Notamacropus eugenii: one gene and its partners. The protein of the gene in region 3 interacts with the protein of the main gene of each other region in a biochemical or structural test. Links are inferred from orthologs where the notes say so. Each region holds a gene or a part of one and is shown on either strand. Other genes may lie near its edges.

Region 1 (7,030 bases), about 390 Mb from region 3:
CCATTCTCTTTCTGTCTCTCTGTCTCTCTCCCCCTTCCTCTCTCCTACACCTCCCTCCCCAGCAAATCCCCCCAGAGTGGGGAAGCTCTGAGGACGAAGGGACCCCCTGCAGAGGGGAACTTCTCTCCCAAGACCCAATTCCACACAGCCCCGTGGGTCACCCGGGCTCCTACCATAATTCTGCTGAGTCATTCAAAGCCCAGCCTCCAGCAAGCTTCTGTCCTTGAAAACAGCTGCCTCCAACCACTTCCTGGAGACCTATCTCAAAGTCCCCCAAACCCAAAGGCCTTAGAGGAGGGGGAGGGATGAGGTGGGGAGACTTTCAAGGAAAAAATTCCAAAAAGCAAACCACTGCCCCCCCAAGGCTCTTTTACTAGACGCAAAAGTTTATTAAAATTGTTCATTATTAATGCTTCAAACGCAGAGATCCCAAAATATACAGATGCCTTTTTCCTTATAGAAATAGATTATTCTTTATAATAAAAAAACGTAGGAACATCTTTAACAGATTACTCAATCCATGACTGACAGTTACACGTGGTTACATCAGTTGTGTACACAGTCGTTCCCAGCCATGTTTAAAGATTGCATCACTCACTTTCTGTTTGCCTGCCCGCCGCCCTCCCTGCTCCGCTCGGCTAGATCTGTGTGTATCTATACACATGTCGTATATACACATGTATGTGTATATACACACGGGCATATACACATACACATAATTTCTGGGTTTTTAAATAACACTATGCCACAAATTCGCAGAGATCCCCGATCTGAACATTTGGTTGGTGGGAAAATATATATATATATATATATAAAATAATAAAATTACCAACAAGAAAGCCAATTCGTCAACCAGGCAAGGCGCACAAGTTTTCAAACGTCGCCGGAGGTTGACGGGAAAGGGAATATTTGAAGGCTCTCACAAGGGGTTGTTCGGGTGACGGAGAGTCAAGGGGGGGAAGGCGGGGAGGACTGGCGGACAGCGGAGGTCGATGGTGCCGCCCCCGCAGGGCCCTCACTCAAACAAGAATCTAAAACAACCCCCGGCGGCCCGCCTCGAAAACAACCTACCATTCTCCTCCTCTCCCCACACAAACACCCACCAAATCTTCGAGTCTCTGCCCTTTCTCTCCTCTCTGCTAGGTCTGCCCCACCCGGGAGCAGAAGTAAACAGCCCCGAGGCTAGCAGTCTCCAGATGTGGCGGTCAGCGGTGGCCAGATACGATCACCCCAAGTCCCCCCGGCCAAGTGTCCTAGAGGGGCGCGGGCCACAAGAGCGAGAGGCCTCCCCGCGCTGGCGGAGGCTGGGGCCCCAGAGGGCCGGCCGCTGGGCTAACAGTGTCCGGAGGAGGCCAGCAAGGGCTCGGGCAGCTGTTTGAACAAGTTCCTAAGCGTGCTCAGCTCTCGGGACAGCTGCTCCACCTTCTTCTGCAGCCGCTCGTTCTCCGCCGTCAGCTCCAGCACTTTGTGCTGCGTTTCCAAGTTGCGCATCTTGGCTTTGTCGCGACTCTTACGCACCGCGATGTTGTTGCGCTCCCGGCGGATCTTGTACTCGTCGCTGTGCTTGTCCACGCTCTTCTTGGCCTTGCTCTTGGCTGGCAGCGGGGTCGGGCCGCCCGGGTAGCAGCCTCCGGCCTTGCTCTCCGTCGGGTTCGGGGTCCCGGGGGGACTAGAGGAAGACGACGTGGACAGGTTGCCGCTACTGCCGCTCGGTACCGACTGGTAGCCCAGGTAGGAGCGCATGGCATAGGGCGAGCCGGCGGACATGCCCCCGCCCGGCCCGGCCGCCGAGTCCTCTTTTCTTTTGCAAGGCACCGAGTCCGCCACCGGTTCGAAACCGGGTTCGGCCTTGAGCTCGCCTGCCCCCGGCGGTGGCAGTGGCGGCGGCGGCTGAAGGGGCGTGAAGCAGCCCGGAGGGTGCAAGCCGCCTTTGCTCGCGCCCTGCTGAGCTAGGCGGCCCAGGCTCAGGTAGCTGTAGTCTGGGCCCGGCGGCTTCTTGCAGACGGAGCCGCTGCCTTTGGCGTAGTCGTCCGCGAAGAGGTCAGAAAGGAAATCGTGGTGGTGGGGGGGATGAGGAGGGTGCGCGTGGGGGTGGCCGGAGGAGGCGGGAGCGGAGGAGGCGGAGGCGGCGGAGGAGGCGGGAGGAGGCGGCTCGAAGTTCCCCCCCGCTGCTGGGGGAGGCGGCGGCGGCTGCTGAGGCTGCTGGGCGCCCAGCGGATCCAGGTAGGGGCTGAAGTCTATGGCTCTTTCGTGGTCGCCGATGCTGAGCTCGCTCATAGAACGGCCCCCGGGCCGGGGCGGGTGCAGCTTGAAGGGAGCTAAACAGTCCGCCTCGTAGTAGAAGTTCGCCACTTCCATGGATTTAAAGGCCGGAGGCTGCAAAGGGAGGCATGTTGGGTCCCAGGACACCAGGCGTTGCATGAAAGCAAAGGGGGAGAGAGGAAGGGGAAGGGGGAGGGAGAAAGGGGGGGGAGGGAGAAGGGAGCAGGCTGGGGCGGGGGGCTTGGCTTGAGGATTTTCGCGGCCCCCCTCTGCCCCGGCCGCTGCAATCCTCCGGAGCAGAGACGGAGGCTGCTTTCAGCTCAAGCTGCGCCAGGCGTTCTGGGATCCCCAGGGGCTCGGCTGTCCCTGCTGCCGGGGTCCGGAGCACCGAGCTGGGGTGGGCTTCTGCGGCGCTCGGCACTGCTTCCGCGGCTGCTGGAGCTGCTGTGGCCGCTGCTACCGTGGCTGTGGCTGCGGCTGCTCCGGACCATCTGGTCCCTCCGGGTCCCGTGCGCGGCTGTGACTTGCTAAAGTTTCTCGCTCGCCGGTTATTTATAAAGGCGGCCCTTAGCAACGGCCCATAGCTGCGTCACGGCTGGCAGCCTGCCCCAAGCCGCGCATGCCGGGCCGCCGCTTCCCCTGCTCCCCCTGCAGCCGCCACCGCCACCGAAAGCTCCCCGCAGTCCTAGCGCCGCGACCCGGCCCCGCAACCCGAGAAGGAAGCCGAGCCAGCGATGCGCGTTTTGGGGGTCCTGCGGACTACGCGTGAGGCGATCGCGTGCGCCCCAGCTCCTATCCCAAGGGAGAGGCTGGGGGAGGTGCGGCCCCGCCCCCTTGGAAAGAACGCGCGCACACACACACACACACACACACACACACACACACACACACGCCACCATTCCTCAGTCTCCTAGATCTAAGCCCTGTGTAGATCTTACCTCCACCCCCAGGTTTCCCTCTCGAAAGGGGCCGAGGATTTCCGAGCCTCCCACTCCTCCGAGGGTCTTTGCTTGCGGCCCTGCCTCCCTTTCGCTCTCCTCTGGTTTGCACTCCCCGCCCCTCCCTGCCCCACCCCGCCCCCCGCCCCCTAACCCCCTGCCTGCTGGAGAGTGGGCTAGCAGAGGATCTGGGGCAGAAATCCGGGCCAGGGAAACCAGTTTCCCACCGCCACGATCTGGCCCTGCCTCCAGAGCTTCTCCATCCCACCCGAGGCAGCTCTGGCTCTGTGCGGTGCTTTGTCCCCACCTCCCGATGCACCTGTAGGCCGGGGCACTTGCCCTTGTTTCCTTCCCTCCAAGCTGTCAATTCTCTCTCTCTCTCTCTCTCTCTCTCTCTCTCTCTCTCTCTCTCTCTCTCTCTCTCTCTCTCTCTCTCTCTCTCTCTCTCTCTCTCTCTCCCCCTCCCTCTCTCTCTCCACCTCTACCTCTACCTGTACCACCTCACTTGTGTCTGGAGCCCCCAAGACTCTTTCCAGTCCACTGGGGAGCCGAAAACTTGATTCTTGGGGGTGGATTCTTGGGATGTTCTTGGGAGTAGATTGTAGACATCGGTAAGTTTGAGCTTATGTGCAAGTCTGGTCCAGCGCACCCACTTGGGGTGTAAGGGTGCTCTATATGTACTGGCTGTCCCCAAGAGTGGTGATCTGCCACCAGGAGCAAGCCTCAGTGTTAGCCTTTGGACTTGGGTCTTCTATACAAGGCAAATAATCTGAGAACGAATGAAGATCTGGACTCTAGTTCTGACGACCACTTAACCAGCAAGTTAGAGGATTTTAAGATTAAGAGCTGGAAAGGACATTATAGGTCACTTTGATCAGCTTCCTCATTTTGCAGAGAAGAAAACTGAGACTTATGGGACTTGAACTCAGATATTCTGGCTCCAGACCCAATGATCTTTCCCTTCTACCACAGCAACTTCCAGGTCCTCAGTTTCTTCTATTGTAAAATGAGAGATTTGTACTAGCTGCCCTCAAGCCCCTTCCAGGTTCAAATTAATATTATTCCTCACACATGCTCCCCTTACAACTAGCCTGGCCAGCCTACCTGGAGGAAAGTGAACACAGGGAAAGAAAGACTTGTTTCTGAGAAAGGTTAACTTGGAAGGTCTCAGCACTTCCCAAGGGAGAAAAGAGACCAGAGGCTAGCAAAGAATAGGAAAGAAGCCATGATTCCCCTAAAGTGGAAGAAGACCCCTGGATTCTATTTACCTGCCACTGAATGCCTTCTGTCTTAAATCTGGGGAGTTCAAGAAATTATTTGACTCACACTGCCCCTGTTTCTTCCAAGCCCTCTTGAAAATAGAAATGGTACCCATTATCCCCTGGCCCTGTACCCCACAGAACTCCTAGGTAACTAGAAAGAATAGGGCAACTTTCCTCTCCTAATTCCTCTTCTAACCTGGAACAGGAATGAAATTCCCACTGCCCAGAACCTATCCTGGTTCAATGACTTGGGCCACAGAAAAGAGTAGACAGTCACAGAGGAGACTTTGACTCATCACTGGTTTCATTTCTTTCATCTTAGACTATTCCTCTAGTTGGAAAGAAGGTCTTTTCTGGAAGCCTCTACTAAATAACTTGCCATTCAGAGTATGTGACAGGCCTGCTTGGGGGAGGCTGGTCTCCTTTACTACTTAAGAATATGAAGGTAGCATTTTGTGGGGGAAGGTGGAGAGGAACAGTACATATTGGACTAGAAGTCAGGAGATACAGATTCTGGTCAACTGTGCCACTAGTACTCACTATATGACCCTGAGTAAGTCATTTCTCTCTGAACCTCATTTTTTTTATGTACAAGATGGGGTTGGGGGATACTTCTAAGTTTTCTCCCAGCTCTAACACCATAGGTTCTATAGTTCCTTGTACCTTTTATGTTCTAAGAGCCCTTCTAGATGACATTCTATGGTTCTGCAACTGGTTTCCTGCCTAGTTTATTTTCCTTGCTGGAATTGTCCATGAGACACCAGTGAATTCTGGTTAGATGGCAAAGCTAGAACTTCCTGATAGCCCTGGCATTGTTCATGTTTTGGACAGCTCCCTCCATCAGTCCAGGATCAAGTTGTCCAATGTGTCTTCTGCCCTCCTCCTAAAACCCTCCCACAAACCCTGCTCCCTCCCCGCCCCCCACACACACATATCCCAGACATTCACATGCATACATTCATACAGGCTTATTTGTTGGTGATCCCTGACCCAACACCCCCAGGCCTTCACCCCTGCAAGATGTTGCTCAAGCCCTATTTTATCTGCTCCTTCAGTGATCTTTGCCCTGTAAGTGCTGGTGGAAAAATGACATCTCAGGAGCCTGGGGACAGATCAACTGGATGAGCCTGAAAATTTTTCAGGGCCTCTCCACAGCCTTGAGAGAGGTTGGGAGGCCAGAGGTCAGAACCATCCCTGGAGTTCCACAAATGGAACAATTGCACCTGACCCAAGCAAGAGGCTGAAGCTTAAAAAAAAATACACAAAACTTGAAACTGTTGCACAAAAAAGATGTCATATAATGGAGAGAGCATCAGAAAACCTGGATTTGAGTTCTTGCTCATTAGCTCTATGACATCAGCCAAATCATTGGTGTGATCATCTGTAGTGTGGGAAAACAATGACAAGCAAGACAGTTTTAAAAGTAAACATGTAGAATTTATAATATACTTTCATTTTTAAAAAGCAAGTGGTATGAAATATTGGTTCATGGTTTCATGTAGAATCTTTTTTGTGTTCTGTATATATAGAAATGTTCTTTTTTTTGTGTTTAAATTCAGAATAAACAATTTTAACATGAAATGGAATAAATATCTGTTTTGTTTTATTTAATTATGAAGATCAAATAAAATAATCTCTGCAAAGCACTCTGTAAATAATAAAATCTAATGCCAGTGTTATTGCTGTTTTGTCCAGGGCCGGGTCACCAGTCAACATTTTCAGAATGTACATTACCCCTTTGTGAGATAATACAGTCATAACGGATCTTAGACTATAGATTGTCAGAAATGGAAAGGGACATCAAGACACACTATCAGAACCTAGAATGTCAGGACTGAAAGATAAAACTTAGTCCAATCCCTTCATTCTATTCTTTTAATTTTCAGTTTATTCTAAACTTCATAACTCTTAACAAAAACATTCAAATAAAATATAAAATGACTGTAGACAGAACAATTCAATTCAACATTTATTAAATGCCTACTAGATGGCAGATAACCATGCAAGGCACTGAGAATGAAAAGACAAAAATGAAGCAGTCTGTACCCTAGAGAAGCTAGCATTTTTCTGATACCTGCTGAACTCATATAGTTTTGAGGGTCAAATGAAATACTCTATATGAAAATCTTTTGTAAATTACAAAGTCCAAGTTGCTTACATTGGTCTTTAAAATATGCACATTAATTTAACAAAATAAAACTATTCCTTTTGCTTTCATGTTTCTTTTTTATCTTTTTTTTTATTCTGTACATTTTTTATTTGGTTGCCATAATTTTTTTATGTAGTGGTCATATATTTATGCATTTCTTATGATTCATTATATATTTCTTATGATTCTGTTCCCCTCACTTTACATCATTTTATTTCTTCCCATATTTCTTCACATTCCTAATAATTATCATTTTTATGGTGCAGTTACATCTCATTTCATTGCATTCATATCCTTCGATTTATTCATACATCTCCCAGTTATTGGACATACACTGATTCCCTGATCTTAAAGAGAAGGAAAATATGCCCCAGAAAAGAGAAATGACTTGCCCATGGTCACACATGGTCCTGGAACTG
Region 2 (7,380 bases), on a different chromosome or scaffold from region 3:
ATAATTCTAATGCAGCAATATGGTAAAGTCATTCCTCCTCTACTCCAAAACCTTCAATGGCTCCCACTGTTTAAACAATAAAATCATAACTCTTTAGTCTGGCATCCAATGCCTTCCAATAACTGGTCCCAATTTTGTTTAGCCTTTCTTCTAGAATTCTCCAACACACATGCCAGTTCCTTCAATGCCTTCCAAACGTATCTTCTGCATTCCCATCTCTATAACTTAGCTCAAGTCATTCCTCTCACCTGGACTGCCCTCTTCCATTAATTCATTAAAATCCTACCCACCCTCTTCCATGAACCCCATCCCAAGTTCACGAAGCTCTCTTCTTCTGAACCTGGACAGTGAAACTCAGTGTCTGCCCCACATTTTAGGCAATGGTGGCCTCATGATGTTAAACCACTTTCTGTGCTTTAATTTTGTTTCTCCTTACTAGCTTCCCTTAAGTTCTGTAAGGCTAGGATTGTACCCCACCTTCCTCTTCCTTCTTCCTAACTTGGGGCAAGGCAGGAGGATAGCACTGGTGCTAGGCATAACAGGTACCTTGTAAATGTTTGTTGCAGCAAGAAATGGGGCCTACAAAGGACATTGCCCCCACCTGGAGATAAAGAGTTCCTTCCCCAGGGTAGGCTAAGCATAAGGGAATCAGCATCTGGTCAGGGTCTTTTAGAAAAAGGGAGGGAGGGAGAGATTGGCATCAGGTTATCTGCTATAAAGATGCTAACGGTTAAACGGCAGTATGAAGGAGGATGAGTTACGGACCATGGGTTGACACTTTTTGGATCAGTTTTATTTTTAACAAATGGTATTAATACACATTGACAATAAAAGTTACAAAAAGACCATCTTGGTGTTACAGAGGTCAGGGAGCAGAGGAAAAGGGAGAGTTCTGTCCTTAAGCCACATCAGTAAATCCAAACCAAGGCCCTGGGCACATGTGCTCCTTTCCAGGTACTGCAACCCATTCCATATCCAAGGCTGGCTTGGGCTCTGGACCCAGTTCCCCTTTGTCTCCCCCCAGGCTCCTCCCACCCAGTACTTGCCATTGATCAGCTCCAACGCCTCCTCTTTGCTCCGAGTGATCTTCTCCTGCCGCCAGGATGAGGGCCTCCGAGACTGGCTGTGTTTCACCAGCAGGTGTGAGCATCGGACCTTAGCAGGTTCACCTTGACCATTCTTGCCCACACTGCTTGGACGCTCCCACTGGCTGGCATTGGTGATGTGGTTGAAGTAATAGACTCGTCCTACAGAGACAGAACAGGAATGTGTAGCACACGTTACATTGGGCTTTACACACTTAGAAAGTGGGGAGGATAGGGGTACACACTGAGGCTGAGGTGAAACAGAGGGCATACAGGTCACCCTAAGTCATACAAGGCAGACAGGTAGGAAAGCACTGGTTACCCTGGGCCATAGAAGCAACAGAAGCCACTGGTCATCCTGGGTCTTGGGAAGTACAGGGTGGGATGACCCTGAACCATAAAAGGGGCAAGGCAGAACAGGGTGAGCACCTGTCATCCAGAGCCACAGAAGAGGCTGGGTCACTCTAGACACTGAGGGGGGAGGAGTAGAGAAAGTACCAGTCACTCTGGGCCTTGAGTGGGGTGGAGGAAGGAGAGAAAGCATTAGTCACCCTGGGCGTTGAAGGGAATGGGATGAGAGCATAGGGTCATTTTTGGCTTTTTGTGGAATGGGAGGAGGGACACTGATCACCTTAGGCTTTATGTGGATGGGGTGAATACTAACCCTTTGGGCCTTACATATTGGAGTGAGGAACATCAATCACCTTGGGCTTTACATGGGGGTGGAACACCAAACACTTTAGGCCTTATGGCAAAAGGAAGCAGGGATCACCCTGGGCCTTACGTGAGGGGAGCACCCCTGATCATCCTGGGCCTTACATGGGACAGGGTGGTGGAGAGCACCCGTAACCCTGGGCTTTATGTAGGGTGGGAAGCACTGATCACCCTGGTCCGTATGTGTGTGGGCGAGGAAGGGAGGGGAATGAGGAGTACTAATCCCTCTAGTCTTTATGCTGGGAGCATTGATCACTCATGTGGACCTTATGTGGGGGGGAGATGGAGCACTGGTTACCCAGGGCCTTATGTGGGGGGAGGTTGGAGCAGTGATAACCCTGGGCTTTATGTGGGGTAGAAGGATGAGAAGCATTGATCACCTGTCCTCGGACTTAGGAGAGACTACTCATCCCCCTTGGTCTTGGGGAGGGCAGCACTGATCCCCCTGAGCCTTATATGGGGGGAGGGAAGCTGGAGGGAGGGGAGCTGGGGGAGGGTGAAGAGCACTGCTCTCGTAGGCCTTACGTGGGGGCAGAGCACTCATCACTGGGTCTTGGGGAGGGGAGCACAGACCCTCCTAAGGTGAGGGAAGGGAAATACTGTTCCCCGTGGGCCTTATATGGGGCAGGGGGATGGGGAGCAAAGATCATTTGGGCCTTATGTGGAGAGGGGGAGGGGAAAGCACTCTTCACCCCTGGTCTCGGAGAGGAGAGAATCGATCCCCCTTCTGTGGGGGAGAGCACTGATCCCCTTGGTTCTTATGTGGGGGAACGGGGTACTGATCGCCCCTGGGCCTTTACAGGTTCTGGGGTTCCTTCGATGGGGAAGGGCGAAGGACACGAAGGGGCCCGGGGAGCCCAGCCCCGTTCCCATGCCGGGGGTCCAAGGCCGGCCCGTTACCTGGCCTCCTCATTTCCTGGGGCGGGGCTGGGGGGTGGGGGAGAACTAATCGCGCGGGGCTATCTTTACAGGGCCGCAGGCCGTGGGATGATGGGGAAGGGGTGCAGGGCCCGAGCCCGGGGTGTCCGCACTCATTCTTCTCCTCCCGGACCCAAGCGCGCCCTCCCTCCACCCCGTGGCACCTGAGCTGCGGCTCATGCGCTTCTCCCAGCCTGACGGCAGCTTCTCTTCGTCCGCCATCTTCCCTCCTGCCGCAGCACCCGCTCCGCCTCCGCCCCGCCGCCCCCACCGATTGGCTTAACGCCTCCCGCACCGGGCCCTGGCCGTGTCATTGATTGGCTGTTCCCACGGCAAGGCCCCACCTCTGGCCTCCTCACTTGCTGCCAGAAAGGCGCGGGGGCGTTGCCTCTTGTCACTCAGACTCCGCCCACAGACCCTGCGTTCCCTAACCCACCCCTCTTCGAGCCCAGCTCCGTAAGTGGTGGAATGAGGAACAGAGGCCGCTCCTCATTATGGCCATTGGTCACAAATAGAAAGACCACCCCTTAACTTCCGCTTCTAGCTTTAGGGCATCCCCTCCTTCTCGGAAAGAATGCCGCTCGCTGATTGGCTGCTGGACCTGTAATTCCCTCCTTCTCAACAGTTCTCTGGGCCTTCGGGTAAGGAAGCAGCACCAGAAGGGCGGGGAAATTGGAGCCCCAGAGGAACCGGAGGCCTGATGCTCTGGGCGCGTTGCTATGTTACCTCGTTGCCATGGTTTTGCTCAGGCTCGGGACCCGCATCCTGGGCTCAGTTCCATTCAGAGAAGTGGGAGGCGCAGCCCTCTGCCCAGCTCTCTGCTCGATCCTTGTTCAGCCCTCTACTGGACTTTAACCAGCCTTCTTCAGAGTCCTTATCTTGCCTCTCCCCAGTTCCCGTCCAGTTCTTATCAGGCCCTCTGCCCAGCTCTTGTCCGGTTACCTGCTAGTCCTTATCCTTTGCCCGGGTTTTGCCCTATCCTCGGCCAGCCTTTTGTCTGCACCTCACCCAGATCATGCCTAGCATTCCTCTGGTTATCCCCATTTTCTTGTCCTGTCCTTTGCCCAGCCTTTGCCTCTGCCCAGTCTTCTGCTTTGTCCTCCCCAGTCTTCTCCTTTGCACTTCAGGTCTTTTCTGGCTCTATTTTCTTCACAGTCATTTGTTTAGTGAGCAGGGCAGTGTTAAACACTGAGATATGATATGTGGTCAAGAAGCTCTCTCAAAGTTTCTGGGCTCACTCTACTAGATTTGATCCTATGGAACTGACTCTCCGTAGTCCATTTCTCTCTTTGCCTTGATATACCTTAACTTGGAGTTCTCCAGGTAAATCTCTAAAATAAAGCTTAGGCAGAGTTCTCCCTCTTAGTTTCCCCAAATGTCTCATTTGTACAGTTATTTGTACATTGTTTCTCTCATCAGACTGTAAGCTCCTTAGGAATAAGCACTGTTTTTCCTCCAGCACTTAGCACAGTGTCTGGCATATAGTAGGAGCTCAATAAATGCTAATTGATTGGCAAAGTTTCCAACTCGCACTCAAACACAAGTTATGCAACAGACTTGATTTCCCTCACCAGAGAAAATGCCTAAGATGCAAAGGACTCACAGAGGTCCATGAGCAAACAGAGAAACGTACATCACTCAAATAACCTGTTAGACTCATGAAAACACTTTGGGGGTGCTGTTGAACAATCTCCCTTCACATTGGACCTGTGCTGATCACACAGCTCATAATAGTGGAACTAAAGAGGTCCAGACCTCTTCCCACCCTCCTCAAATGACTTCAATACTTTATTTGCAGGATGAGCCTCTATGTTATCGGTCCTCTTATGCCTTCCAGGACAGTATTGAGGAAATCTCCCTCCTATGCCCAAATTTTAAACTTAAGGAATCTTCAATTTCAGGCTTGTAATGTGCTTTTCTTATAGGTTGCTCTTTTCTCCTATTGCTTGTATTTTAGTTTGGAAGATCAAAGAAAGCGCAAGAAAAGGAAGGAACTGAACAATTTCACAGATCACTTTTATAGACTATGGTGAAAGTGCAACTATTCTGACTCTCAGTTACCAGTTATCTTGGAGGTAGCCCTAGTCACTGAGAACCAAGCAGAGGAGTTTCCTTCTCTGCGTACCCTCAACAAGACACTGAGAAGTGTATTATATACATACATACATACATAAGTGGTACACATATACTCACAAAATCTCTCATGGTTTTCTGTGGGAAAGATGGAAAGATATGGGATACATAATAGTACAATTAGGTGAATTAAAAAGTGATTGAAAGGCCAGACCAGAAGAATTAATAGTTCATGTCTGGGTATCAATTCAGAAGTAAGTCTCCAGCGGAATGTCCCAGTGATTTATTTGTACTTAACCTTGTGCTTTTTAAAATTTATGGGGTTTTAAATTTTTTATTCTGAACTTAACAAACATCAAATAAAATGATTGTCTTCATAAAGGACAGAGAGGTTTATACAGGAAACTGAATGTCTTCTTTTTTTATATAATTTCACATGTAGCTTTCTAAGCTGTTCTGCTTAATTTATATTCCTTCTGACCTTCCTTATTTTCTCCTCTGTTTGGGGGTAAGGAGGGAATCTTATCTCCATCTTCTCTCTCCCTTGCACCTTCCCCCTTCCAGTGGAAAAAATATCCATAGCTTTTGTAACATATCCATAGCCAAGCAAAAGAAATTCCCACTTTAGTCATGTTTAAAAATTTATACACCTTGAGTTCCTCATTTCTCTGTCAGAAGGTGAGGTGATATGTTTCTTCATTAGTCCTCGGGAGTTATGGTTGTTCATTGCATTGATTTGAGTTTTTAAGTCTTTCAAAGTTGTTTTTTCTTTGTGATGCAGTCATTGTATTAATTACTTTTTTGATTCTACTCACCTTATTTTGAATCAGTTCATACAAATCTTCCCAAGGTTCTCTGAAACAATCCATTTCAGCTTTTCTTACAGTCCAATATTATTCTATTACATTCATATACCATAATTTATTCAGCCATTCCCCAGTCAATGGACACCCCCTAAGTTTCCATTGCTTTGACACTTCAAGAAGAACTGTAAATATTTTTATTCACATAACTCCTGTTCTTCTTTCTTCCATCTTTTTAGGACATAGGACTATATGTCTGGTAGTGGTATTGCTATCCTGTACTGTTTTTATTGATGACTTGAATAGATGGTCTGCTTATAAAATTTGCAGATGACACAAAGATGGGAGAGATGACTAATACAATGAATGACACAGTGAGGATGCAAAAAAGATCTTGATTGGCTAGAGTATTGGACTGATTCGATGAAGATAAAAATTTAAAGTAATATGCTTGAGTTTAAAAAAATCAGCTTCATAAATATATCATGGGTAGGGAAGAGGGTGGGCTAAACAACACTTCATCAGATAAAGATCAGGGGTTTTAGGGAACTTGAAACTTATTTAACAGAAGACCACAGTGTAATAATATGGCACCCAAAAAAGTTAATGCAATCTTAGGCTGCATTGAGGAGTAATAATGTCTGGGAGGTGATAGTCCTATTGTATCATAATACACAATAGCTATACTCCATCTAGGAAGGAAAACAAAGAAACAAGAATTTATTAAGCATCTACCATGTGCCGGAGCCCTGTGCTAAGTACTTTACAAACCTTATCTTGTTTGATTCTCACAGCAACCCTGGGAGATAGGTGCTATAATTATCAATCCCATGTTATATCTGAGAAAACTGAGACTGATTAGTTGGTTGGCTGTTGTCCTTTGTTTTTGAGGAGAACCAAAATGACATCACCATGATAAAGTGAAGTTTCAGTGTGTCTGACTGTGGCTGATCAGACCAACACAAGCTCGAAATGCTGTTCTACAGATTGGGCACAGATAGTCCATGTGAATGTTTGGGTGGATACTCCAAATTTGCACATCCTACGTTTCCTTTGTGCTGTCTCAATTCTGCTTTGCTCATAGAGCACAGCACCTTTTCTGATGTGGAAACTGAGGCAGACAATGGTTAAGTGATTTGTACAGGATCATCCAGTTAGTAAGTGTCTGATGCTTTATTTGAACTCATCTTCCTGACTTCAAGCCCAGCACTCTCTCCACCATGCCACCTAGTTGCCCCCAGAGTATTGTATTAATTTCTGGGTGCTACATTTTAGGAAGGACCTTGCTAAGCCAGAGGAAGTTCAAAGTAAGGCAGCAAAAATTTTGAAGGGCCTTGAGATCATACTATATGAGGATCAATTGAAGGATGCTTAGCCTGAAGGAAAGGAGATTTATGTGGAACATGATAAGAATCTTCAAGTAGCTGAAGGGCTACCAGGGAGTAGATTTGTTCTGTTTGACCCTAGAGGACAAAACATGGAGCAATGAGAGGAAGTTTCCCAGAGTCAGATGTAGGCTTTTGATGTCAGGAAAAATTTCCTAATGATAAGAGCTGTCCAGAAGGAGAATGGATTTCCAGGAGGAAGGAGATTCTTCCTTACTGGAGGCCTTCTAAAAGAGGCTCAGGGGCCACTCATTGGAAAACCACAGCACTGGCAAGATTCAAAATTTAACCTAAGGGGGAAAGAAATGAAATATTGCTCTGAAATATGAAAATTAAGAAAATAGGAATTCGGCTCCATCTCTACCTGCATTTGGAAAATCCTCTGTTCTCAATTCATCAGCC
Region 3 (7,522 bases):
ACTGAAATACAGCCCCCCACCTCCCCCAAAAAGGTTATAGACTCTAGATTAAGAACCCCTCTGCCCTAGACAATTTGACAAGTTGCATGCAGATTCAGGTTAATGCAGGGCTATGGCAGACACGCTGCTATGATTAAGCCTGTAGCCAATTACCTCCATTTTTAATTTTCTGCCCACAACCATTATTGGGACACCTGATGTCCCAGTAACAGTCTTGTTTAGATAGTCAGTTGCAATATGCGGTTTTCCTGAGTCTGTGACAGCAAGTATTAGTCAGGTAATAACTTCTCACAGTGGCAAGGGAAAATCAGTAGGGGAGGGTGGTTGCAGATCCCAAAAGTTCAATGACAACAAGCTACATAAATTGTTACTTTCTAGGAATCCTTAATGCTTCAATTAAGAAACACAGTATTTTGTAAGCATCTCTTCCAGCCTCTACACTTACAGCAGAAGCTTAGACACATCCTAATCAGGTGAGTGGGTGAGTACCATCAATCTTCCTGGAGAAGTAATTACCCAGGAGTCCTGGAGATAACAGAACCTGGGACTGAAACTCAGGTTTTGCCTGTTATCAAACCATACCTACCTGTTCATTCAATCACTGCTGGCCCCTAGACCTAAGGTCTACAGACAGTATATCCTCTTTCTCTCCTTACTGACTATATTTGTCTAAAAAAACAGTCAAAGTATGAACTTCATCGGTATTTCCAAATGAGGGTTGCTTCTCATGAACAGATGCAGCATTGTGAAGGCTGACCCCAGTGTTAAGACAGCTTGGGATAAATACCCAGGCACTGTGATTCTCCTTCACAGCTGCTCCAAGGCAGGTGGTGGTGTGAGAGGATACATCCTTGGGGCTGAGTGGCCCTGAACCGATGTGGACACTGGAGTCCTCTGCTGGTCAAGCCCAAGGAAGCCCAGGTAACCTGGATTAAATCAAAGCCCTGGGGAGACCCAGTCAACAGCAAATTCCCAGAGTTCCTTCAGAACAGAATGGACCCTAGAAAGGGGATGGAGAGGCAGTGGGTAAAAGGCTCCCTTCTCTTTGAATTCTTCCTCCACCTCCACCCACCCTCCCCCTCCAATTTACCAAAATAAATACACTGAGTTCAGCCTCAAGGGAGTCAGAGCAAGTCACTGACCCTTTCTATAAGCCATCTGTGAAACCCTCCCCATCTTCCCCTCCTAGGGATGCTGTGAGCATAGTAGAGAATAAACAGATGGGAAGGTGCTTTAGAAATAAAGACACCGTAGGAATGCATGAGACTGGCTGAGGCCTGCTTTTGTAGGCATCTTTGTCATCAGAACTACTCCACTTCCACAGGGTGCTAAACAGTTCTGCATCACCCTGAATCCTACTTAAAAAAAAAAAAAAAGAAACACAGACACCACCCTCCCGAGGACTGGCTACTGCCGGTGCCCCTTGGTCTTCCCTGTGAGTGCGGAGAGTTTGGGGAGAGAAAGAAACAAGTTCAATACTAAGTATTCCCTTCTTCTAGAAAGTCAGTGCATTATAATCTGAGCCGTACGTGTGCAGGAGCGGAGGGGGTGTGGGGGGTGGGGAGGGCACAAACTGGCAGGACTGAATCTAAAAATACTCCTGAAAAAAACGAATCCCAAATGCAAAGAGAGCGAAAGAGAAGGAATCTGTCAATCACACGGGGCCAGGCTTCTCACCCACAACCCCAGCCCGGGGAGGCCCTCCCTTCGCTGTGCGGACTGCATTCCTGGGGGGAGGGGGGGAGGGAGCCGGCGGAGAGGGGAAGAAAAGACGGAAGGGAAAGAAAAATGAGGGGAGGAAGAGACAGACCGACGGACAGAACCACTTCTACTAGGACGGGGAGCCGAGGCCGGGATCGCTCAGCGCTGCTGCGGAGGGGAGGGGCGCGAAACAAAGCCGGAGCCCCAAACAAACTTCCAGCCCGCACGCACCCACCCCCGCCCTCCTGCCACCCGGGAGAGAAAGCCCCACGCTCCACAAGCCATCCAGGACCCCAGTCCATCTCGCCCGCCACTGGTCCCCCAATTCCTCCCTCCCGGGCTGGTCTGGGCCGCGTGGAAATCCTAGAGTTTCCATCTTTGTAAAGGTTTTGTTTGGGTACCTTGCCCCCGCCCCCCCTCCTGCCCAGACACATACACACACACAGACACACAGACACACACACACACACACACACACGCACACACACACTCACACTCGCCGCCGAGCCCTCGATCGCGCCCACTTTTCCCCGTTTCAAACACACACAGCCGGGCCAGGCCCGGCAGTGAGAAGCAGCCGCCGCCCGTGCCAGTGCTGGTGCCCGTGCCCTGCTCCCGCTCCGGCGCGGGCACCCCGTCCTCACCTGGGGATGGTGATGCATTTGGTGTTGATGTTCTGGGTGGTGATCGCCTTCTCCAGCTCATCCAGCTGCCCCGTCTTCTTGAGCTTCTTCACCAGGCTCTTCACCGCCTTTTCGCACCACTTCTCCTCCTGCCCGTTCTGCTCGCCTTTTTTCCAGCCCAGTAGGCGCTTTACGATCGGGGGGGTGAAGGGCAGGATGGAAGACATGGTGGAGGGGGGCAGAAGGGGGCTCCCCCCGAAGGGGGAGGCAGGCAGGCACACAGAGAAGGCTGGGAGCCCGGCCGCGGCCGGCCAAACTCCGCTCCAACTCCCTGCCGGACTCCCGGCGAACTTTCCTCCGGGACCTCGGCACCGCCAACCTCCGGGCCCGCGGTGGCCTCGGCTCCGCCGCCCTCCTCCTCCTCCCCCTCCCGGTGCACTCAAGGGGAAGAGGGAAGGAGGGACGAAGGGAGCCGAGAGTCCGGGCGGTGGGGGTGCGAAAGGGCCACGAAAGCACGGCGGCGGCGAGAGCAGAGAAAAGTTTGTGTTTCCGCACGGGGCGGCTGTTGGGTGCCGCCTCTGGGAAGAAAAGGCCAGCCCACGAAGCCAAGTTTGCGCTGCGGGCTCGCCGGGATGTACGGATCCCTCCGCCTTCGCGGCCTCCCCCCGCGCTCCCCGATTCCTTTCGCCCCCTCCCGCCCCTTCCCCTACTTCCCTCCAGGCCTCGGTGTGTGCGCTCAGGCTCCCGCCCCGATCCCAGTCTGTCTCTCATGCAAATCGGCGTGCAGCCTCCCTTCCAAGCGCCTGTCACCGCCCCCTCGCCCGCCGGGGCTCCCTCCTCGCCGCCCCCAAACGCGCCGCCCCGTCGTCCTTCCTCCGTGCCCCCCAGCCCGCACTCCAGGCTGGCCTCCGCGGTGGCGCCCGCTCCGCCCCCTGCTCCCAGAGGAAAGAGATCAGCCCTGGGGCCCACGCCAAACACCCCCCCCCCCCGTGGGCGTGGGTGCTGCGGGGCGGCTCTCCCCAGGGAAAGCCGTAGCCTGCGCACCCCCACAGCTTCCCCCTTGCTTTTTCCTGCAACGTCCCTCGCTCTTGGGCCACCTGATGACATGCAGGAGCTCCCCGAGAAACGGAGGAGAATGGACAAAAAGCGGGGGCTGCACCGTGGCCCCTTTACTTTCCCAGGGAGAACCAACTTGAGAAAACTTTTGTTTTTAAAGTTGCGTCCTTACGGTTGAAGAACGCTCTAGGGTCCTTCTGAACCTGGGTGTCGGGGGTGCGCATTTGCGCACACACACTGACTGCCCTGTCCTCCTGTCCCCCAAAGCAGACCCACGGACAGACCCTCATTACTCCAGTTAAAGCAGTCTAGTTGTGTTCGAGCTATTTCTCTTTTATTCTCTGTAAAATGTAGCCAGCGTTTCGAACTGTTTTGTTTTGTTGGGGGGGGGGGGGCGGCGCGAGAAAAATGGGGGAGAGGTGGCACTGCGATCTGCCCTTCGAGACCTGATTTTAAATCCCCAGAGTCTCAAAGATCCCTCAAAGGTGGGAATTAGGATGGAGCAGTCAGAAAACAGAGGTATATGCTTACACTTTTTACCTGTCTAAATTGAATGGGTGAGACCTTGAAGGACCTTGGAAATCATCCAAGTCTTTTGGGTTTACAGAGTAGGAAACTGAGGGTCCCGGAAAGATAGTAATTTGCTCAAGGTCTAACAACCAAGTCCAGCTGAGTTTAGAATCCAGTCCCTTTGACTCCAAAGTCAGTGCTCTTGAGTTTTGAGTCCCAAAGTAGCGTGTGTCCAGATCTAGGGAGGGAAATCCCTGGAAATTTAGGTTTTCAGAGTTATATTAAATGAGAAATGAACAGAGAACTGGAAAGACAACGCTAAAGGGAACAAGAAATTGATAGAAGAAGATCTGGAGCACAGAATTCAAGGTTCAAAATTAAAAGCATAGACTTGAGATTGCACCCTAGTCTCCTTGGCTTCCCCCTGACTGCCCCCCCCCCCATCAACTCCCACACACAAACACATCAAGTGCCTTTGCATGTTTTTTATAGCAGGAAATCCTTGGGGGGGGGGGGGGGGAGAAGTTATCTAGGAAACCTGAAGAGGGTGCAGAGCCACGAAGCCTGGAGGAGAGCAGAATCCACATAGCCAGCTAACCAGCTCCAGGGGTTCCTGAGGTCTCACGGTGGATGACTTAACACATGCTTGTTAGTTAGGCTACTGTTGCTCTGGGTTATTTCTCTCTACTCTCAGCTCTTTCCTAACGTCAACACTGCCCCAGCTGTGGTTTAGTGGGGGGAAAGTCCTGAGCTAGAGGTCAGAACAACTGGGTTTCTACTCCTAGGACTAAATTGTACTCTTGGCCTTGGATAAACTCAGTTTTCACATCTATAAAATGAGGGAGTTGGGTTAGATAATCTTCAAAGTGTGTCCCAGCTCTAAAACCACATGAATTTCTGAAAATCTATTCTCCAACCCTTGGTTTTCCCAGTCTGCAAAATGGGGATAATAAACCCTGCCTCCAGGCTGTGTGAGAATGAAATTGATTGCCTGAGGAAAGCATTTGCAAAAGCAGTAAATGTAGTGAAACTGTTAATATTGTTTCATGTTTATCCCTCAGTTCAATCCAGTGTCAACATTGTAACATAGGAATTTAGCCATGAAACAAGCAGCCAAAAAAACATCTCCATGCGGTTGGCAAAAACACTAAAATAGCCATGTACCTCAGTTTCCACCTTTTAATTGGCCATTATTCACAGTAACATTAATTGAACAAACAATGTTCTAATAAAATAAATTCACATAATAAATACTTGTGGGGGGAAGGGAAAGACATTGATTAAGCATGAAATGCAAGAGTGAGCCCTGCGCTCAAGTTCCAGGAGGTATCCAAAAATGTCCCACATGTGGGTCCTTTCTTCTAGGAACAGGCAATCTCGTTAGGGAGACAAAGGATATCCATATGAAGACAGCTAACAAATGAATGGAAAAAGCATTTAGTAAGCACATTTGTGAAAGTCACTGTACTTTATGATACAGGACCGATGAGTGTTACAGACAAATGGGAGTTGCTGAAGTTCAGAGAAAGGAGGGAGATCACTCTTACCTGAGACAGCTTTGTGGATGGAAGATGACACTCAAGCTGAGTTTTAAAGAATGAAAAGGAATCCAAGAGGCACAAGGAAAGGACATTACAGCATGGAGGAAGGCATAAGCCAAGACAAGTGGGAATGTGTAAGTCATATTTGCAGGAAGAGGCAACAGATTTGTTTGGCTGTTGAGAAGAAATCAAGAAACTCTAGCCATGAGACCTACAGGTGGTATTTGGCCCATGATGATTGAGGGCCCTAAAGAAGAAGTCTCTGGAAGCCTCAGGTTTGTCCCGAGAACAGGTTAATATCATCCATTAACATTTTTGTCTGACTCATATTAGCTCTGTGCTTAGGGTCAGGCTAGCTCAGGAGTGGGGAACCTGTGGCCTTGAGACCACATGTGACTTTCTAGGTCCTTGGGTTCCTTTGACTGAGTCCAAGTTTTGCAGAACAAATCCTTTTATTAAGGGGAATTGTTCTGTGAAGTTTGTATTCAGTCAAAGGTACTCCCTTGAAGACCCAGAGGGCCACATGTGGCCTTGAAGTTCCCACCCCTGGGCTAGAAATCAAGTTAGATTCCATCTTTGATCTCTAGGGCTAGCTAGGTGATTCGGTGGATAGAGTCCTAGGCCTGGAGTCAGGAAGACCTGAGTTCAAAATAAAATTCGGACACTTACTAGTTGTGTGACTGTAGGCATGCCACTTCATGTCTGTTTGCCTCAATTTCCTCATCTGTAGAATAGGGATAAGGATAGTACGAACCTTGCAGTGTTGACTCTGAGGACCAAATGAGATGACTGTAAAGTTCTTAGCATAATGCCTGCCATATAGTAAGCACTATATCAATTTTAACTATTAGTTATTATTAGCGTATCACTATGGATGCCATGGATGTGAGAAGATGTACATCCATAAGAAAGAGAAGAAACAGGAAATGTTAGAATTGGAAGGCGTGGTAGAGAGCATTTAAAACAAGCTCCTCATCTTATAGATGAGGAGGAAATGTATACAGTAAAAGATCACCAGCCTGAGACTCAGTAGACTCTCTACAGATCAGCTATGTATGAGTAGCCCATTTAACTAGGACATGCACCTGGGGCTTTTATTGTGTTTTTAAGGCTAACATTTTTTTGAATGTTATTGGACTCACTTAAAAAAACTTTTAAAAATTCATCATACAACCTAAAGAAACAAAACCAACAATTTTAAAATTAAATTTTGTTTTAAAAATTACATATTTATAACTAGACCTTGTATCATTTGTGTACAAACTGTAAAAAGGAGATATAAAATAGTAAATTTTTTTCAAATTTATTTATTTGTTTTCAGTTTTTAATGATCACTTCCATAAGTTTTAAATTTTCTCCCCTTCCTTCCCCAAAAAGCATGCAATCTTATATGGGTTCTACACATACATTCTTATTAAACACATTTTCATATCAGCCATGCTGCATAGAAAAAAAATAATCTTGTACAGACACTAAAGTGTGCCTGGGTCTTCCTTGTTTGCTCTATATGCATGCCTTACTCTTCTGGGCCTTGAGTTTCCTCTTCTGTGGGTTAAAAGAGGTAGATGAAATGATCTTAAGGTCCCTTCCAGTTGTATAATCTTTTAAATACCTAAAGTTGGTGATCTAAAACAAGGTCATTGACTGCTAGCCTGTGCTACTGGGAATTAGTGACTGAAGATTTTAGGCCAAAATGGACTTCCTCACTGGGGATAGTGACATGAAGTTTACCTGGTTTTGGTCATACCCTGTTGAGTTAATTTTCACCTAAACCCCTTACAACCCTTTTGCTCTCACTATTTCACGGAAAATTCTTTTCTCAAAAGTCATCAATTACCTCTTAGTCACATAACCCTTTACAGCTTTCCTGGTATAATGGAAGGGGAACTATCTCTGAAATCAGAGGACCTCTGTTCAAATCTCACCTCAGACACTTGCTACCTGTGTGACCTTTATAGACCTTTTCCTTGACTGCTTTAGAGCTAATTTTTTCTTCCTTTGGTTTCAAAGACTACCCTCCCATTTTTTTTCCTCCTGCTTCAATTGTGCCTTCTGTTTCCTCACTCAACCTCTTCCTGACTCCTTAATGTG
Region 4 (6,928 bases), about 11 Mb from region 3:
CACTAGCTGTGCTGCGCAATTCACTTAACCTTTATTTCTCTCAGTTTCCTCAGCTACAAAATGCGAATAATATTAGCACTGATCTGTCAAGGTTGTTGTGAGGATAAAGAGAGATGATGCTTGTAAGACACCTTGTATTGTACCCATCCCAGGTGTCTTCATTCTTTAGACCTGCCAGCTCCCCTAAGCTCCATTCTATACACCTTCTCCCTTTCATAAACAAATTCATAAAAACCAAAATCTACACTTGCAGTTTTTACTTCACCTCCCCACTCTCTTCTCAACCCCTTGCAACCAGTTTTCAGACACCACATCTCAACGGAAAGGGATCTCTCTGAGGTTATCAGTGACCCACCTCTAGTGGCTAACTCTTGGGAGCCACTTCCTCATTCCTCTTCCTTTGTGACCCCTCAGCATCTTTTGACATCACTTACCATCCGCCCTCCTTCTAAATGTTTGTTCCTCCTCTGAGGTCCTTAACTCTTAGCTTTTCTCCCTGTTTGCTTCTCAGTCCCTTTTGTGGAATATTCATCTGTGTAGAGACCCTTAAATGTACCTATGCCCCCAATGCATTGTCCTGGTTCTGTAGCACCCTCTTGGTTTCAATTATTGTCTCAACAGCTGTATCCCAAATCAGCCCCCATCTTTCTTCTAATTGTAGTCTCCCGTCACAAACTACACTTCAAGGGATTAGGTAAGCACCCCAACTTGCAAAATCTTCCCACTTAATTTTAATTCTTTTCCAAATTTTCCAATTTTTGTTGAGCGTACCACTGACGACTTCAGACTCGCAAGTTCAACTCTCCTTCACTTTCTGTATTATAATTAATCTATAGCATGTCCCTTTCTCTCCACTCACATACACACCATCCTCGTTCAAGACCCTTATCAGTTATACCCTGGATTATTTCTTGTGTGTCAGTTATTTCAGTCATGGCCCCATTTGGAGTTTTCTTGGCAAAGATACTGGAATCGTTTGCTATTTTCTTCTCCAGCTTATTTTATAGATGAGGAAACGGAGGCAAACAGGGTTACGTGATTTGACCAGGGTTACAGAGTTAGAGGGTGGATATCTCTATTCAATCAAAGCATTTCAACAAGGTGCAATAAGAAATCTGTTTACATAGGTTTAACAATGTGGTCGTGCCCTGTGGGACTTATACACCAGAAGGCTAGTTTGGAGTCAGGCATTTGAGGATATAAAAGCTATGGGTAAAGTACTTTAAAAAAAAAATCACTTGCTGAGGTACAGATGGGGAAGAAGAAAACGATGGGGTTTCCCAGCCTCAGCTGATGAACTATAGCCTTTGAAAGCCACCAGCCACCCAGCCCCTCAGGGTTCTCTAGGGCCATTAGGGGAGATGGAGAAGCCTTGCTCTCAGGACCTAGCTTTCCAGCAAGAGTAGGGGTTGGCTGAGTAACTCTCAAGCAGGGGTTCTCAATCTTTTTTTCTGTTATGTACCACTTTAGCAGTCTGATGAAGATCCCTTCTCAGAATTTTTAGATGTGTAAAATAAAATACATAAGATACAAAGGAAATCAGAGGTTAAAAAAATAAAGATTCATTATTCCCCCCATCCAAGTTTACAAAATCTCCTGAAATCTATAAGGGTTTATGGAGCCCAGGTTAAGAACCACTGTTCTAAAGTGTATTTATGCCAACTCACAGTTAAAATCCCATACATCTTTTCATGTATGCTTGCCCTAGTCAAGAGCACCCATTCTCAGGCCCTGTCTCTTTGCTAGTCTGCTGTGCCCTCAGGTCCTTCTGGCCTGCCTGGCCTAGGCAGGGTTCTCCAAAACATTGGGCCCAAGGTAATTTCCCTAATTTGATGTACTCTGAAGGTGGCCTCACTGGTAAATTATTCTGATTTCAAGACTAGAAAGAAGCAGGAATAGTAAATGGGTAGGTGATATGACCATTCTCTAGCCTACTGACTTTTTAAAAAGCTTAACTGTAATTTGATCACTAAATGAATGCAAAAGCATTTATTAAGTGCTTAACTGTAGTAGTGTCAAGCTCTGTACTAAGTGCTGGGGATACAAATAAAAAAACACCGAAGTCCTGCAGCAGCTGTGGCCTTCTCACCCTGAACTTTTCTCTCCCATTCCCTCCATTTGGAAGAAAGGCCCAAGCCAGTCATCCTTTCTTGGAGGAATTCCTAAGATTTTCTGACCTCACTAGGTACTACCCCAACACCTTTCAGTCCCCTTTCATGTGTCTCTTCTCCCTTTAGAAAGTAAGCTCCTAGAAGGTGGTGACTATTTTTTGTTTGCGTTTCTATTCCCAGCACTTAGCACAATTCACAGACCACAGTAAGCACTTAATAAACGCTTGTAGAATATGACTAATGTGAAAATGTGTTTAATAAGAATGTATGTGTAGAACCCATATAAGATTGCACACTGTGTTGGGGAGGGGGGGAAAAGGAAGGGGGAAAAAAATTTAAAACTTATGGAGGTGATTGTTGAAAACTGAAAACAAATAAATTTTTTTTTAAAAAAGAAGAAAAAAATGCTTGTAGACTTGACCTAAAAGATTTTACATTCTAATGGTGGAAACGATGTACATAGTGGAGTGGTGGCGGCTGGACACTTTAATCTTAGAAAGTGTTCTTAGCGAGTGTGACCGGAGCAGAGTAGACAGACAAGTTCTCTGAACGATCACCAGTTTATGGTTCCAGAAATGGAACAGGGATGAGGAATGGGTGGCTCATGGAACATGGAGGTGAGAGATGGAGTTTTATCTTTCGATGTGTCGTTTTCCTCCACTTGTTAAATTCGAAGGTGGGATCACAGAACTACCATTTGTTAATTTGTCCAGACACGATAGGAGGTGGACCAAAGAGCTGACTTTTCCCCTTTGTGCCCTAGATATCTGGATCACCGCTTGTGTCGGGTAAAGCCTGGGGAAGGATCCGACGTTAAAGTGCAACATTGTGTATAATATACATAATTAACATATAAACACATGAAACGAGATAAAATAATATATAATTATATAATTCAAAATAATTATTTTGAAAATAATAAAAATATGGCATTGTTCTCTCCACCCTTGACTCAAAAGGATATAACTGGGAACCTTTTAGAAGTGTTTCTTTACAAACCACCAGAGGCTCAGAAATGGAAGTGAATTCAACGAGGAAAAACTGGTGTTAATCTGGGAGAGGGAGGTCACATGACCCACGACAGTTGGGAAGCCTGAGTTTAAATCCCAACTCCGTGGTACCCCAGGGCGCTCCGTAGTGGGGGGATAACAGGCTACTACAGAAGCCATGACCGGAACTGGGATGAGATCCGGGCAGGGGCGCGGGCTGGCGAAGCTGGGCTAAGGCCGGGGGCGCCCCCCAGCCCCCCGGGACACCCCCGCCCCCTTAGGGACCCCCCACCCCCCCGCGGCACCCCCTCCTCCCGGAACACCCCCCAGCTCCCTGAGGGACCCCCCACCCCACCGCGGTACCCCCTCCTCCCGGAACACCCCCCCGCTCCCTGAGGGACCCCCCACCCCACCGCGGCACCCCCTCCTCCCGGAACACCCCCCCGCTCCCTGAGGGACCCCCCACCCCACCGCGGCACCCCCTCCTCCCGGTACACCCCCCCGCTCCCTGAGGGACCCCCCACCCCACCGCGGCACCCCTCTCCTCTTGGGGCATTCCCCCGTCCCCGGGGCGCCCGCTACCCCTCCGTGACACCCCTGCCCCCCGGGACACCCCCGTCCCCCGCGGCTGCCCGGCCCGACAGTCTGCGCGAGGCAGAGCACCGGAGCGTCCGGCTCCGCCCCCAGCCCTGGACTGGCCGCCCCGAGGCCCGCAGCCGAGCCCCGTCATCCTGTACTTTGGGCGCTCTCGGGGGGCGGAGGTTCCAGCGGTTCCCACGCCCGCCCCGGCGAGTCGCACCCAGCCCTTCCGCAGACTTGGCTCCGCCCGGGCTTCGGGCCGGGGAAGGAAGCGCGCAGACCTCACCCCGCTCCCCTTACTCCCTCCCCGAGGCCCGAGGCCCCAGGCCCCAGGCCGCCCCGCTTCAGGCAGAAGGGGCCCCTTCTTCTTCTCCCCCGCGGCAGGGGGCGCTGCTGCAGCCTCTCCGCCCCCCGCCCCCCTTCTCGCTCCTCCTCCTCCCCTCTCCTACCTCCCTTCCCTTTCCCGCTACGATTCCGGGCCAGGGGTGAGGGAGTCGAGCTCTTCGGCCCCGCAGGGACATGGCAACTTCTCCGGCGGAGGTGTTCGGCCTTCTGGAGGATGAGGTAAGGAGACCCGCTGGTCCCTGTCATCCCCCGCCCCATCCCCCACCCGAGGGAGCTCGAGGCCGGGCTGGGACATCTCTCACCTCCCGGCCCCGGACTCGCAGGCTCGGCCGGGTGGGGAAGGGCGGGACCCGCGGAGAGCCGGCTCGTGAGAGTTAGAGAGGGCTGCTGGGGACCGAGCCCCCCCAGCCTAATCTGCACCCCCTTTCTAGCCGTGCAGAGTGGGGCCCGGGCGAGGGCCCGGGCAGTTCTCCCGCGTGCCGGCGGGGGCGGGGGAACCTGAGCCGGAGATCCGGGGATGTCTCGCGCCTCACCTGGAGCATCCCGGGCCGCAGCGGGCCCGGCCCGAGCCGGGAGACCTGGCCTGGGCGGGCTCGGCGCCCGGGCGCGGCCCCCGGCTCCTCGTGCTTTGTTTTCTTTACCCCGTTTGGGGCTCGGGCTTGGCCGAAGAGAGAATTTACTAACCAGAGCCAGTATAGAAAGCGTTCGGCCCCTCCTTTTTTTACTTAACTGAGATTAAACTGAACTGAAACTTGCTTCCTGACATGACGCTTCAGTGAAGCCCTGGTGGGTGACAGCTCCAGCAGATCTCTCTCCTCGGCCCCTCCGCGGTTTGGTCCGGCCTGCGTGGAGCCCGGGCTCCCGTTGGAAGTTCCCGCTGCGGTGATGCGGTTCCGTGAAGGCCAGTTAGGTTTCACTCCCCTTCCCAGAGCCAATGGAAACAATCTGCAACATTGTATACTCCCAAGGTGTGCCCCCTCGGCGGCGTCCGCGCGTTAGCAACTATGTAAACACAGCTGCAACATGTACGGGGCTGGTGGCTGAGGAGATCAGATCTCTTTCGGTAACGTTCTAATAGAGAACATATTTTGTATGCTTCTCAGCTGTTTATTGATATAATCTCTCCTATCTTCCCTTATGTAGATCCTTTATAAAACAATTTTTATGAGCATACTGGCTGGAGAATAAGCCTTGGAATCAAGAAAAACTGAGGTCAAGTGCTCTTTCTGACACTTATTGGGCAAATCACTTGAAGTATCCTAAGCAACTCTCTAAGGCCAGAAATTGGAGGGAAGGTACACACCTGCCTTGGCAGGAGTTTGTAATTGGAAGTTCCTTAGACCCATAAATCATAGATCCAGTCCCTATCCTTAGTAATATTGGTTTGGTGAGTCCTGATAATAAAGAACAGTGCCTTTCATTCCTTTTAAATATAATTTGATTAAAGGAGAATTACTTATTGGGAATGATTGAAGGCAAAAGGAGAAAGGGATGGCAGAGAATAAGATGGATAGAAGGTGACAAACATGAGCTTGGACAGATACCAGGACATAGTGAAGGATTGGCTGTGATCCATGGGGTCACAAAGAGTCGACACCACTGAACAACAATATTTTATTTCATCTGCTGGTTATGTATATATGCTGATAGAAGATAATTTCTGATGGAAATATATTCACTGTTATTCCTGTATGTACTAAACGGTTATGTATGTATGGTAAGTGCTAGATAATTGCTACATTAATTTTTGGCTAATATTTCAACAAGAAGAGAAAAACACTATGCCCTTCTGGCTCTAAAAAGTATTAGAAAGACTGTCTTGCTGCTAGTTCTATAGGACGGATACTTGCCTTAGGCATTTCTTAGGTAGACCTACACTGGTCTAGGCAGGCTTGGGACTCTCTGGGTTCTTCAGAGCCATATTCTGATGGTATGAATTTTTTACTCATTCTCCTTCTCTTACTATGTTCTAGATCTCTAGATTGGAAATCTCAGAAACAGAATAAGTCCTTGGCAAAATGTCTGAAAAACTTAACTCCCCTTTTCTAGTACTTCTTTTGTGCTGATTTGGTATCTCATTAGTGATATCTGCTTTTTTCTAGTTAGTTGCTTCCTCCCTCCAGCAATTAAAAAACCCCAAACTTGGAATATCTGGCCCTGTTCCAGGTGTCTGCCTCTGCATGCCTCCGTGGGTTAGCCAAGGCTAATTTAGTTTGCTCCCCATGCCTTTTACACCTCTCTAGCAGAGTTGGGCAGGGTAACCCATGGTCTCAGGCAATCATCAGTCAAGACCAGAAGTCTCAATTCTTGAATTTAAGACTGCAGACTCCACAACACATTTCATGTAATAGACAACCACCTGCATGTAGAGTTCACCCCAGTGGATAAACTGGAGGTCTGGCCTTTGCCCTGCCAAGATTCCAAATGCCTCTATTTGCTTTATGTCCCTTAATTACTGTATCCCAGGGAAAGAGAGAGATCTGACTGTGAACTTCCTCCTCTTTCCATTGTGCTGAGAGGAGTAAGAGATTAAGATTGAGGAAGGGGCTGCTTGCTTTTCTCTCTTTACCTAGTGATGGCAGTACCAGAACCAGTCTTTTCTCCAGTGTTGTAGACAACTTACAGGAAGCCATGGTGACTCTTTGTTTTAGTAGTACCAACACTTCAGCCTCCTCTTGTGTGATTGTCTTAAAATGGCTTTGAAGATTGCTTTTCTTTTCTTTTTTAAGAAAAAAGGACTTCTTATTCAATGTGATTTAAAAAAATTATTTCAGTTTGAAATGCTGATGAAGGGGTTGTACTTGTCTAGTTGAACTCTAAGGAGTGATGGGGTAGGAGGGACTGATCTGTAAAGGGAAAGAAGGGCTGCAGCTGACCCTTGACCCTAGTAACTCATCCAAGGCT

Evidence for each region.
Region 1: the proteins of SMAD3 (region 3) and CEBPB form a complex in vitro, tested with the Homo sapiens proteins (2 studies listed by BioGRID and IntAct). The link is inferred for Notamacropus eugenii from reciprocal best matches to the Homo sapiens genes SMAD3 and CEBPB.
Region 2: the proteins of SMAD3 (region 3) and PIN1 form a complex in vitro, tested with the Homo sapiens proteins (2 studies listed by BioGRID, with this or other methods). The link is inferred for Notamacropus eugenii from reciprocal best matches to the Homo sapiens genes SMAD3 and PIN1.
Region 4: the proteins of SMAD3 (region 3) and E3 ubiquitin-protein ligase NEDD4-like interact in a test that uses a peptide from one of them, tested with the Homo sapiens proteins (3 studies listed by BioGRID and IntAct, with this or other methods). The link is inferred for Notamacropus eugenii from reciprocal best matches to the Homo sapiens genes SMAD3 and NEDD4.

The regions. Positions count from the first base shown.
Region 1 is NC_092872.1:516,783,718-516,790,747, forward strand, and holds CEBPB (CCAAT/enhancer-binding protein beta), read right to left. Parts: upstream 3,019-7,030; 5' UTR 2,422-3,018; coding exon 1,333-2,421; 3' UTR 367-1,332; downstream 1-366. UniProt on the Homo sapiens protein: Important transcription factor regulating the expression of genes involved in immune and inflammatory responses. Also plays a significant role in adipogenesis, as well as in the gluconeogenic pathway, liver regeneration, and hematopoiesis.
Region 2 is NC_092875.1:80,258,912-80,266,291, reverse strand, and holds the start of PIN1 (peptidyl-prolyl cis-trans isomerase NIMA-interacting 1), read right to left. Parts: upstream 3,007-7,380; 5' UTR 2,940-3,006; coding exon 2,882-2,939; intron 1,248-2,881; coding exon 1,047-1,247; intron 1-1,046. UniProt on the Homo sapiens protein: Peptidyl-prolyl cis/trans isomerase (PPIase) that binds to and isomerizes specific phosphorylated Ser/Thr-Pro (pSer/Thr-Pro) motifs.
Region 3 is NC_092872.1:129,940,769-129,948,290, reverse strand, and holds the start of SMAD3 (mothers against decapentaplegic homolog 3), read right to left. Parts: upstream 3,008-7,522; 5' UTR 2,552-3,007; coding exon 2,346-2,551; intron 1-2,345. UniProt on the Homo sapiens protein: Receptor-regulated SMAD (R-SMAD) that is an intracellular signal transducer and transcriptional modulator activated by TGF-beta (transforming growth factor) and activin type 1 receptor kinases.
Region 4 is NC_092872.1:140,798,852-140,805,779, forward strand, and holds the start of E3 ubiquitin-protein ligase NEDD4-like, read left to right. Parts: upstream 1-3,912; 5' UTR 3,913-4,198; coding exon 4,199-4,243; intron 4,244-6,928. UniProt on the Homo sapiens protein: E3 ubiquitin-protein ligase which accepts ubiquitin from an E2 ubiquitin-conjugating enzyme in the form of a thioester and then directly transfers the ubiquitin to targeted substrates. Specifically ubiquitinates 'Lys-63' in target proteins.